2 linked regions of the Mus musculus genome follow. The protein of the gene in region 2 purifies or fractionates together with the protein of the main gene of each other region. This does not show direct contact. Links are inferred from orthologs where the notes say so. Each region holds a gene or a part of one and is shown on either strand. Other genes may lie near its edges.

The links. The genes of interacting proteins can lie anywhere in the genome.
Region 1: the proteins of Usp4 (region 2) and Dcp1b purify together in Homo sapiens (co-immunoprecipitation; 3 studies listed by BioGRID and IntAct, with this or other methods). This does not show direct contact. The link is inferred for Mus musculus from reciprocal best matches to the Homo sapiens genes USP4 and DCP1B.

What each region holds. Positions count from the first base shown.
Region 1 is NC_000072.6:119,198,064-119,203,715, forward strand, and holds part of Dcp1b (mRNA-decapping enzyme 1B), read left to right. Parts: intron 1-864; coding exon 865-931; intron 932-2,742; exon of another isoform or gene 2,743-2,758; coding exon 2,759-2,888; intron 2,889-5,652. UniProt on the Homo sapiens protein: May play a role in the degradation of mRNAs, both in normal mRNA turnover and in nonsense-mediated mRNA decay. May remove the 7-methyl guanine cap structure from mRNA molecules, yielding a 5'-phosphorylated mRNA fragment and 7m-GDP.
Region 2 is NC_000075.6:108,381,433-108,387,084, forward strand, and holds part of Usp4 (ubiquitin carboxyl-terminal hydrolase 4), read left to right. Parts: coding exon 1-120; intron 121-2,652; coding exon 2,653-2,723; intron 2,724-2,949; coding exon of another isoform or gene 2,950-2,964; coding exon 2,965-3,083; intron 3,084-3,374; coding exon 3,375-3,524; intron 3,525-5,652.

The DNA of each region.
Region 1 (5,652 bases), on a different chromosome or scaffold from region 2:
TGCTAATTTTCATTGCTCCGTCATAATATTGCTGTTGTTTTGAATGAAGTTTTGTTTAGTGCTCATGCAGTTCATGTGTTATTTATGTGATTATTTGCATATGTGACCAGGCCCTAAACTAGATACTCACAAATGTATCCTGCAACTGTCTTAACCCGTACTATAGATCTGATAGAGCTGGGTACACACTAAATTTAATAGACAGCTTACTTGGAAAATGGTTAAAATCAACCACAACGGTATTTTTTCCGTTCCTTGCTAAATGGTTACACCATCGTCACACCTAACCTTCCAACATTTGTAAATTTTCTGTACAGACATTTTAAAGTGAAATTGATTATTAAAATTATATTTTTCTAGTTTCCTATCCTAATAACTCATAGCCAGTTTTTCAGTTACCGTGTTCCTTGGAGAGGGAGAGGGAAGGAGGGTTCCAGGCATGAGATGAGCATCAGGTTCTGAATATTTAAGAATAAAGATGAAATGTGTTTGTGAGATGTGCAAATGGAACATAGAAACAATGACGTCTCAAAGCCAAGAAGTTTAGCATCCTGATCTCATTTTCAATCTGTAGCCGCTTGGTTATGAAGCGCTCACCAACTGCCTGTTGGGTAGAGGCAGGGAAGCAGGCTTCAGGGTGTAGGCCGCTCAGCAGCGCTTCTAACAGCACATGCTTTTCCTTTTGGCACGGGGTCTCATGTAGCCCTGGCTCTGACTCCAATGACTGCTTTCATCTATTTAATAATCACTCGAATGAATTCACTGTGACTGATTATTGCGGATTTTCCTGTAAGACGGAAAGGGGGTTCCCTTCCATTGTGTGCTTTGAGGATGCTTACGGCTTGTTGATGTGTTTTTCCCCAGTGTCCATTTATGGAATTTGGTTTTATGATAAGGAAGAGTGCCAGAGAATTGCAAAACTAATGAAAAAGTAAGTATTAAAAGGCCAATCGTGTCCTAGGAGCTGGCACTGTGGCTCGTATTTCTAAATGTGTGAATCAACACTAGCAGGAAGTGGTTCTCAGCTGTCATCCTCACACGACCCCACCCCCACCCCACCCCACCCCACCCCACCCCCAGACCCTGTCACTGCTTAGCATATGAAGAGAGTGAGAAACAGTTTTGCCCTGCTCTCTGCAAACTCAGCTTCTGTGGCTTATTGTTCTCTCCATGTGCTGTGAGCTGTTCCGCGGGGTGGTTTTCTTTGGCATTTTCTTCATTTGTAAATAAGTAGTATTTTCTATGGAAAGTTATGTGTCCATCAGTAAAATGAACATGCAGGGTCACCCTGAAAGGCTGCCCAGAGCCTTTGATACCCTCCACTTCCTTCTAAACTGTGCTTGTAACTCAGAGTTCCCAGATACACCTCAAACACCAAGGGCCTAGAATCCTCCTCAGTCCCCCTCTCTGGGGAAGTCCGAATCAGTTCATGTTAGTTTAGCAGTCGGTACAGAATCAATCACCTCTCTCTCCCCATCTCCCCCCCCCCCACTACTCTTAGACTTATTAGTCTCTTTCTCTCAAGCTGTTCCTGAGGTACTCTCTGACTTTGGCTTCCTTAATTGGATCACAAGGAGGCTCAGGTGCGATTGATTGGTGGGCTCTGACCAGTTCCGACTTGGCTGCTCACTGTCGGCTGCTGTTTATGCAAATAGCCAAGGTCATCAGAATTAATCAAATTCCTAATGGGGCTGGGTCTCTGTTTAGGATAGCTAGTCCCCATGTGGACGTGATGCTCGTCCTGCAAAGAACCAGTATTCGCTTCTACATCCCAGGGCAATGGAATGAAGAAGTGACCCCCACAAGGAAATAAAAACCAGGGAACACATTTTTATAAATAAAATTGACTCCTGAAACTCCTGCTTGTGAGAGCTAATTTTAGGCAACCAGCTCAAGTCCCAGATGGTGATTAAGTGTGTTCAAACTGGTATTTACCACCATAACAACTAGTTCCTTAAACATTTCATGGTGTTGTAAATTGTGCAAGGGACAATAATAGCCGGATTTCATATGGATTAAAAAATACCCTGTAACTCAGCCAAGAGGTCATGGTAAACCTGGTGCGTGCCTCACCCCTCAGGCAGGAAGCCGATTGTAGATAGCAAGGAGCAGTTGATCTGTGTGGATTCAGATGCATTCTCTAGTTAGAAGGAAATCTGTTGGTAACTTTGCAGGTCATACTTTACCAGTATCTGCATAGTTAACATAAGAATTTGAGCTGAAAAATCAAAGCACACAAAGAAAAGGACTTAAAAAAATGTTTCCCTGTAGCATTTAGGACCATGAGGTCAGTGTTCGAATGGGACCTTTTCGATTCTGAATCGCCAAGGTCTGAGGTGGTACAGCCCACCTTGCTTGACCTCACAGCATTCTGGAAGGGAAGGAGTCTGTACCATAGAGATCTTCCCTGTTGAATGTTCTGTAAGGCTTCCTCCACAGTCAGCAGCCGCCCTGCGGCTGTAGTGTAAAAGCAGCCAGGACTGCTCTGTCCAGCAACGAGCAGGCCTGTGTTTGTTATTCTCTTTATTAGAACAGGTGGAGCAGGCTAGAGTCCAAAGGACAGAGCTTCTGATGTCCTACCCTGGATTTGCATATGTGGCCTGTTGGCTCAGGACCTCTTCTCTCATTTTCTGTTTCAAATGCTTAAGCAGTCCTAAGATGGTTGTAGTGGGATGAAAACCCTTGGGAGAGAGTTGGAGTGATAAATAGCATCGCTTTTGACTTTAGTTTCCTGAATCGCAGCTTCCCGTTTTTCTAGCCTCACTCAGAGCGAACAGTTGAAAGCCTGTCATGGAGCCGGATCCTCCCCCGTGACCTTGAGCTCAGGAGAGGGCCAAGAAGTAGATATCCTGCAGATGCTCACCAAGGCCAAGGATGAGTACACCAAGGTGAGTCTCCTCTTCCTCGTGGGGATACCACGGTGGCAAAGCCCACCACTGACGGCAGCAGGTGAAGTCAACAGAGCAGGATGTAGAGGGAGCCTAAGAAATCAGTGGCCTGCATACAAATGGTATCCAGTTAGAGGGCCTCCTAGACTTAGAGTGGCAACGTGTAAACCAAATTCATGTCTTTGTTGGTGGGTAGGCCTGTAATCCCAGAATTAGGGAAGCTGAAACAGGAGGATGGTGAGTTTCAGACTAGCCTGGACTACATAGTGAAGTATTTCATAACTCAAAGCATGAGCCCAGCAACATGGCTTGGTAGGACACCTGCCACCAAGCTTCATGGCCTGAGTTTGATCCTTGGGATCCACATGGTAGACGGGCAGAACCAAGTTCCACAAGGTCTCCTCTTCTGAACTCCACACATGCGCTGTGGTAATTTAAAAAGTAGAAATCAGAACAAAAGGCATAAAAGTAGACTTGAACAGACAAAAGTGTATGCCCTGTTCTAACATATATATGTTAGCTAAGGAGGTGTGTGTGTGTGTGTATGTGTGTGTGTGTGTGTGCATCCTAAGTATTAAGTAGAGATAGCAAAATTAGTTCATGGTTTGTTAAATAAAAACTACAGACTCCTGACTCCCTGAAAAGGCTGCAAAATGCTTGGCACCCAGTAGCAGTAAGCACCTCTGTTGCCCTGGGTGACCTCCTCCTAAGCTCGCGATGCTCTGTGAAGATGGTTCTGGTTGCTGGGCAAATGGGATCCTATGTAGTGGGCACTGTAGCCAGCTTACAAGAGTGTCACGAGAGCCCAGCAGCAGTGCAGACAGAGTGCTGGGTGTGGAGTTAAGTAATAATCCATGATGTCATGGTGACAATGACAGAGACAGCGTGGACCAAGTCTACCAAAAATAAACTATTGCTATCTTGTTTTGAAAGGACTCAGACACCAAACCTGCCTCTGACACTGATATTTAATTGAGTGCTGGAGTGCATACATGTGTGTATGCACATATATATACACACACACAGAGTCACAAACAAGCCACAGTTCACATGTAAAGGTCAGGACAGCTTTCAAAAGTCAGGTCCCTCAGCCCTGTGGGTTGTGGGTTCTGGGAACAAGCTAAGGTCATTGGTGATTTCAGGCATTAAACTCAGGTGGCCGGTGGCTGGGCCCCTTTCTCCCACTAGTCTTCTCATAGGTGTCACCTGATAATACTCCCTCTGTGCATTCTTCTTGGTAGTGAGCTCTAGGGGTCTTCAGACTTTCCATCACATGGTCTTTGGGGTATTTTCTAAGCATTGGAAACTGGTGTTGCTTCCTGAAAGTGCCTTCCTGCCTTTCCTCCCCTTTTGCACTCATCCAAACAAGGTGAGCCTTTCACAGTCCATCTCCTACCCATCATCACCAGGGCCACGCCCAACCTCCACAGCTGGATGGAAGGCTCTCCTGTTAGCATCAGTCGTACTGCATAAGTCCCGCCTGTGTTGTCACCTCTCCTGTGTGCATGTCACCTCTCCTTTGTGCATGTAGGCATGTTAGATGCATGCAGACAGTGTGCAGACCATTGGTAAAATAGGTCTGGTATGAAGAAGTGGGAAGTGGAAACAGTAATAAAACACACAAGTTTTTTTTTTCCTTAGAATTCTTGTGGACGGCATCTCCATTTTTGGACATGTTTAAAGCGGCATAGTGGAGATGTTGTAAAAGAATTAAACAAAGATTTCTAGAATCCTTTTTGACTGTGGAATTTGGTGGGGAGTTCAGTTTTGTATTTAAATTATTTTTAAAATTTCAATTAAAAAGTCAAATGTGTATAAATGAGGGCATACAACACGAGGCTTTGATACATACACGTTGTAGAGTGACTACATGAAGGGAATGAACACATACTTACCTTACGTGCTTAGCATTCTTGTGGTGAGAACACTTAAAATGCACTCTCAGCACCTTTCACAGATGCTGTTACTAGCTGTAGTCACTGTGGTGTGCGTGGGTCCTTTGAATCTCCTGCCCTGTCTGGTGTCTTATGAACATCCCCACAGTAGCCTGCGCCCCAAGCCTCTGACAGTCACTCTTACCCGCGTTTCGGCCGGCCAGGAAGAACACAACAAACCGGAATCTTCTGCGGCAAAAGCTTTATTGCTTACATCTTCAGGAGCCAGAGAGCAAGAGAGCAAGAGCCAGAGCAAGAGAGAGAAAAAGAACAAGAACAAGAAAGCAAGAGAGAGAAAGCAAAACCCCGTCCCTTTTAAGGAGAATTATCCTCCGCCTAGGACGTATTACTCCCTGATTGGCTGCAGCCCATCGGCCCAGTTGTCATCACGAGAAAGGCAGAACACATGGCGGGAAAACTGCCCCTGCACGTGTGCAGATTATGTTTACTACTTAAAACACAGCTGTCAGCGCCATCTTATAATGGCAAATGTGAGGGCGGCTCCCAACAAGTCACCATGCTCTGTGCCCTTGGAACTCTGCTTTTCTAGAGTCCACATAGAACTGATGTCACGTGACCTGTGTCTTTCTGGGCTGTGTTGACTCAACACCGTATCCTCCAGTTTTATCCACATGTGGTGGCAGAACTACTTTTTTTCTTTTTTGAAAATTAAATATCCCATGCATGTGTGTGTGTGAGAGAGAGACAGAGAGACAGAGGGAGACAGAGAGAGACAGAGAGAGACAGAGAGAGAGAGAGAGAGATTTCATCTATAGTCACACATAACGACCCATAGTCACACATTTAATTGACCCGTGTCTTGGCTGTTG
Region 2 (5,652 bases):
CCCAAAAGGTGAAAGGCCAGCCGAGGCACAAGAGGCTCTTTACCTTCAGCCTCGTGAACTCCTGTGGAACTGCTGATATCAATTCACTGGCAACTGACGGGAAACTCCTCAAACTCAACTGTAAGTGCTTGCTTGCCCCTTCAGGTAGACTTGGGGCACATAAGAGCTCTTTAGGAATCGTGTTACTTCATATCCCCTACATCAGGTGGTAACTCTTTATGTAGCTCTAGGGTCAGACATTTGAGTGCCTTGGAGAACGGTTGAGGACACACATCTCTCAAAGGAGTTTTACCCTGTTCCCTTCGGTAGTAGAGTGGCAAGTTTAAGACAAGCCCCCCCCCCATTTTTGTTTTTGTTTTTGTTTTTCGAGACAGGGTTTCTCTGTGTAGCCCTGGCTGTCCTGGCACTCACTTTGTAGACCAGGCTGGCCTCGAACTCAGAAATTCGCCTGCCTCTGCCTCCCGAGTGCTGGGATTAAAGGCGTGCGCCACCACGCTCGCCCCCCCCCCCCATTTTTATGTGTTGACATTTTACCTACTTGTATGTCTGTGCACCATGTTTGTGCCTGGTATCAGTGGACACCAGAAGACAGCATTAAATCTCCTACAATGGAAATTACTGCTGTGAACCACCAAGTGGATGCTGGGACCTGAACTCTACAAGAGCAAGAAGTATTCCTCACCATCTCTAACCCCAGGAGGTTCTAACCCAGACTTCCTATGTAGCTGATGCTGGCCTTGAACTTCTGACCTTCCTGTCTCTATCTCTTGAGTCTTTAGATTTCAGGCATATGCCACTATGCCCAGCTGTCACCTTAATCCTTGATGTTCATGACCTCAGAAGCAAACAGGCTTCCATTGCTCTGCGAGAGCTTTCCTCTGGCTCAGTGATTCTTAGGGTCATGCTAGGAGCATTTCTGTAGACTTGCTTCACTCATAAGAATAGGTGCATTTGTCTCTTTGTTCCGTAAAAATACTTAATTGTATATGATGAAGCTAGAGGTAGTTGTGGATTGTAATCAGGACAGCGCTTGGGCGCTTGGGGAAAAAGCATCTCTAGGGGTGTGGACATGCATCATGTGCGATGCCTCCATGGGCAGGGCGGACGCTGCACCCTTTGTCTTCTACCTTAACTACTTATGTTAGTTTCCCCCCCTTCCCCTTCCCCTCCTCCCCCCCTTGCCCTTCCTTCCCTTCATTTTTTTTTTTTTTAATTTTTTACCTTCCCTTCATTTTAATTAAAAAAAATTTTTTTTTGTTTTGTTTTTTCGAGACAGTGTTTCTCTGTATCCCTGGCCTCAAATTCACAGAGATCCATGCCTCTGCCCTCCAAGTGCTGGGTATTAAAGGTGCCTGCCACCATTACCCAGCTTTAATTTTAAAAATTAGATTCTGGGGCTGGAGAGATGGCTCAGCGGTTAAGAGCACTGACTGCTCTTCCGAAGGTCTTGAGTTCAATTACCAGCAACCACATGGTGGCTCACAACCATCTGTAATGGGATCCAATGCCCTCTTCTGGTGTGTCTGAAGGGAACAACAGTGTACTCACATAAAGTAAATACATAAATAAATCTTTAAAAAAAAAATTAGATTCTATGTGTTTGAGTGTTTTCCTGCATATATGTATGTGTACTATGTGTGCCTGGGACCTGCAGAGGAACTAAAGCTGTAATAAATTATGAGCTCCCGCCTTGGGTGTTAGGGACTGAACCCTAGTGTTCTACAAGAGTAATAAATGATCTCTTACTACTGAGCCATCTTTCCAGCCCAACCCATACCTTTCAAAAAAATTTTATGTGAATGGGTATTTTACATGTATATATATGTGTGCACCATATGAGTGCCTGCAGAGGCCAGAAGAGGGCATCCGATCCCCCGGGACTGGAATTTCAGACAATCAAGAGCCTTTGGGTGCTGGTAATTGAACCTGGGTCTTCAGGAAGAGCAGACAGGGCACTTAGCTGTCAAGCCATCTTTCCAGCCTCCTCCAGCTTTTTAAATGTTTCATGTATTTATCAAGACTAAGGACTGACCTCAGGAACTTGCACATACAAGGCAGAGGCTCTAGCACTCACTGTAGTTCCTGGTTCCCTTTACACAGTCTTTTATCTGAGTTTTTATTGCTGCCTGTCTGTAAGCTTACTACATGCATGCCTCGTGCTCACAGAGCCCAGGAGAGGTTGTCAGATCCCCAGAAACTAGAACTACAGACTACTGTGAGCCACTGTGTGGGTGTAGGGAGCTGAGCTTGGGTACTCTATAAGAGCAGAAAATGCTCTTAATCTCTGAGCCATATCTACACTCCCATTTACATTTTTATTTTGTTGTTTTGTTTTGTTTTTCGAGACATGGTTTCTCTGTGTAGCTCTGGCTGTCCTGGAACTCACTCTGTAGACCAGGCTGGCCTCAAACTCAGAAATCCGCCTGTCAGATTCTGGGTTTTGGGGGTTATCTGTAATATTAGGGGAGACTTTGAAGCTGTGGGAGGTTGAGATTCAAAAAGGCTGCCCCAGGTTCTAGCATTGCTCTCCTCAGTGGCTGGTGGTGGGTGAGCAGGTGTGGTGCTGCTGCCTGAGTGTGGCCCTTCTCACTTGGAGAGCCTCTCCTGGTGTTGGTCATTCCATAATGAGTGACACTATGGTCCCCTCCACAGCTCGATCCACACTGGCCATTGACTGGGACAGTGAGACCCGAAGCCTTTACTTTGATGAGCAAGAATCTGAGGTATGTCATTTGGGGTTTGTGGTCAGTGCTGTGTTCTGGCTTCTGCTCTGAAAATACATTGATGTTCATCTCATTGATTGGACAACAGTTAAATTTTCCTTATGACTTGAAATGAAAAGCACCCAAGACTGCCATTCTGTGTGCAGAGACTGCAGAAAGCACGGTATATTCCAGGCAGAGCTTGAGCATCCCGTGAGCCGCCAGGAGGCTTCACAGCAGAACTCAGTGCTTCTCTCCGCAGGCCTGTGAGAAGCACCTGAGCATGTCACAGCCGCAGAAGAAGAAGAAGGCGGCAGTAGCCCTGCGAGAGTGCATCGAGCTCTTCACCACCATGGAGACCCTTGGGGAGCATGACCCCTGGTATGCAAGTCCCCGAGCTCTGAGCAGGGGACCTATGTACCCTAGGCTCTGAGGTTTGCTGGGACCACCTGTGTGCACAGAAACCTCCTCCTGTGCCTGGACAGGTCATCTTTTCTTAAGCAGTTCTGTAAATATTTGTGTGTGAGAGACGACTGTTTGCTGGACTGAGAAAAGCCACTGCTCTGATGAGAAGGCAGGGGTTTGTTCATAAGTCCTGGGGTTGAGTCCTGCCTGGAAGGTCTCCTTGTGACCTCCTGCTGCCCTGGCTAAGTAAGTCTCTTCTGTCTTTAGGTACTGTCCCACCTGTAAGAAGCACCAGCAGGCAACAAAGAAGTTTGACTTGTGGTCTTTGCCCAAGATCCTGGTGGTTCACCTCAAGCGTTTCTCCTATAACAGATACTGGCGGGATAAACTTGACACCGTGGTGGAGTTCCCAGTCAGGTGGGTGTGTGCACAGGTGCTGAGGAGGGAGGTGAGAAGATAGATGCTGGAGTTAGATTGTAGTACTTGGCTCTGGGAGGTTGACTTGTGACTTGTGGAGCAATCCTTCCTTCCCCTACTCGTGGGAAAAGTCACTACTAGAAGAGTCCTGCTGATTGTGTCACTGCTGATCTGCTTGTATCCTCACACTGGTCTGTGGCCTGTCCTGGCCGTCATTGCTGTCAGGGAACTTGGCTTCAGCCAGGACAGCACAGGCTCAGTTCTGTTTCTTATTAACAGGGCGAGGCAACCAGGTTAGCCTACCCGCGGGAGCTGATGTTCAGCTGGGTGTGGTGTCGCATGCTTGTAATTCCTTGCTCGGGCAGGAGGATCATTGATTGAGTTTAAGGCCACCTTTGTAGTTAAAATTTTGTTTACTTTTTTTGTTTGTTTGTTTTGGTTTTTTGAGACAGAGTTTCTCTGTGCAGCCTGGGCAATCCTGGAACTCACTCTGTCATTCAGTGCCAGTCTTAGCCCCCTGAGTGCTGGGATTGAAGCCTGTGCCTCAGCCTGACTGTTATTTTTTACCTTTTCTTTATTTTTGAAAATTGTATAATGGGCTGGTGAGACTAGGCAGCTCATTGAGAATCCTTGACCCCCAAGCCTGCTGACCTGGATTTGTTCCCAGACTCAGGGTAGAAGCAGAGAACCAACTCCTAAAATTTGTCCCCAGCTCTTTCTGCAGTGTGGATTTCAGTGCAGAATACAGAGGTAATGCTAACATATCCAGTTTTTTGGCCCCCAACAACAATTCCCTAATGTCAGCAGAAAGTAATTATGCACGATTGAGTCACTCCCCTTATTCCTTTGAAGAGGCAGGCAGATTTCTGAGTTCGAGGCCAGCCTGGTCCACAGAGTGAGTTCCAGGACAGCCAGGGCTACACAGAGAAACCCTGTCTCGAAACACCAAAAAAAAAAAAAAAAAAACCAAAAACCAAAAAACAAAATGATGGAATGATAGCCTAGTCAGGTTAGAGCAGGTTCTTGCTCTCCAGTCTCTGTAGGATCATCTGGGGCTAGGGACATGCAGTTAGCAGTTGGAGCAATTTGCAGCCTTTAATTGACTAGAAATCTGCTCAAGCAGATACATATTAAGGGTAGAAGCTAAAGCTAAGGAGTTTGGGGAAATTTTTTTCTTAGGTGTGCATTAGAAACTTTTAGGCCCGTGGTCCTAGTAGTTGGGAACGGGAAGTCCCAAGACCAGGGAAAGGGGGAGAGGAGAGATCCCAGGCTCAGGACCAGGCAGGTGAGGAAACAGGCTGTTGACTGAGTCCATCTGGAGTCCATTTGACCTGTGAGAGGTCGATTCAAGGCGATTCCCTGAAGCTTCCAAGAATTGTTATTATTATTATTATTATTATTATTATTATTATTATTGGTTTTTTCAAGACAGGGTTTCTCTGTGTAGCCCTGGCTGTCCTGAAGCTCACTTTGTAGACCAGGCTGGCCTCGAACTCAGAAATCTGCCTGCCTCTGCCTCCCGAGTGCTGGGATTAAAGGCGTGCGCCACCACGCCTGGCTAGAATTATTTTTTTAAGTTTATAAAAAGTGATGTTTTAGGTATGTTAGTGTTAACCACTGTTTGTAATCTGTACTGAGAGCCACATGGTAGAGAGAGCAGCAGACTCATACCTTGCAGTCATAATAAAAGCTTAAGCACCCAGAAATAATTTGTTCTTACCCAGTTACTTTCTATGAGACACAGGTGGTTGAGTCCTGACAGTAGTCACTGTAAAGCGGGCTCTTTACATGAAAGGGCGGAAGAGCTTACTTGAGACCTATTCTGTGAGTTTACCCCGTTTTAGAGTCTGGCAGCAAGGTAAACTGTCTTTCTCAGCTAGAAGCTTAGGAGATGAGGCCTGAATTTTGTACACATGAAGAGAACTGAGAACAGCTGAAGCCTTGGCTGCTGCTGTTAAACTGACAAATCTGCCCTGAGCCTTGTGGTCAGCACCAGAGACCTGAGAAAGATAAATTTCACCTGAGTAAGCAGGAAGTATAGACCAAGCAGCTTCCAAATCTATTTAAAAAGTGACAGAGATCCAGGTCACCCTAGGCTCCTCCGTGGTCAGTGGAGGGCGGCATGGCT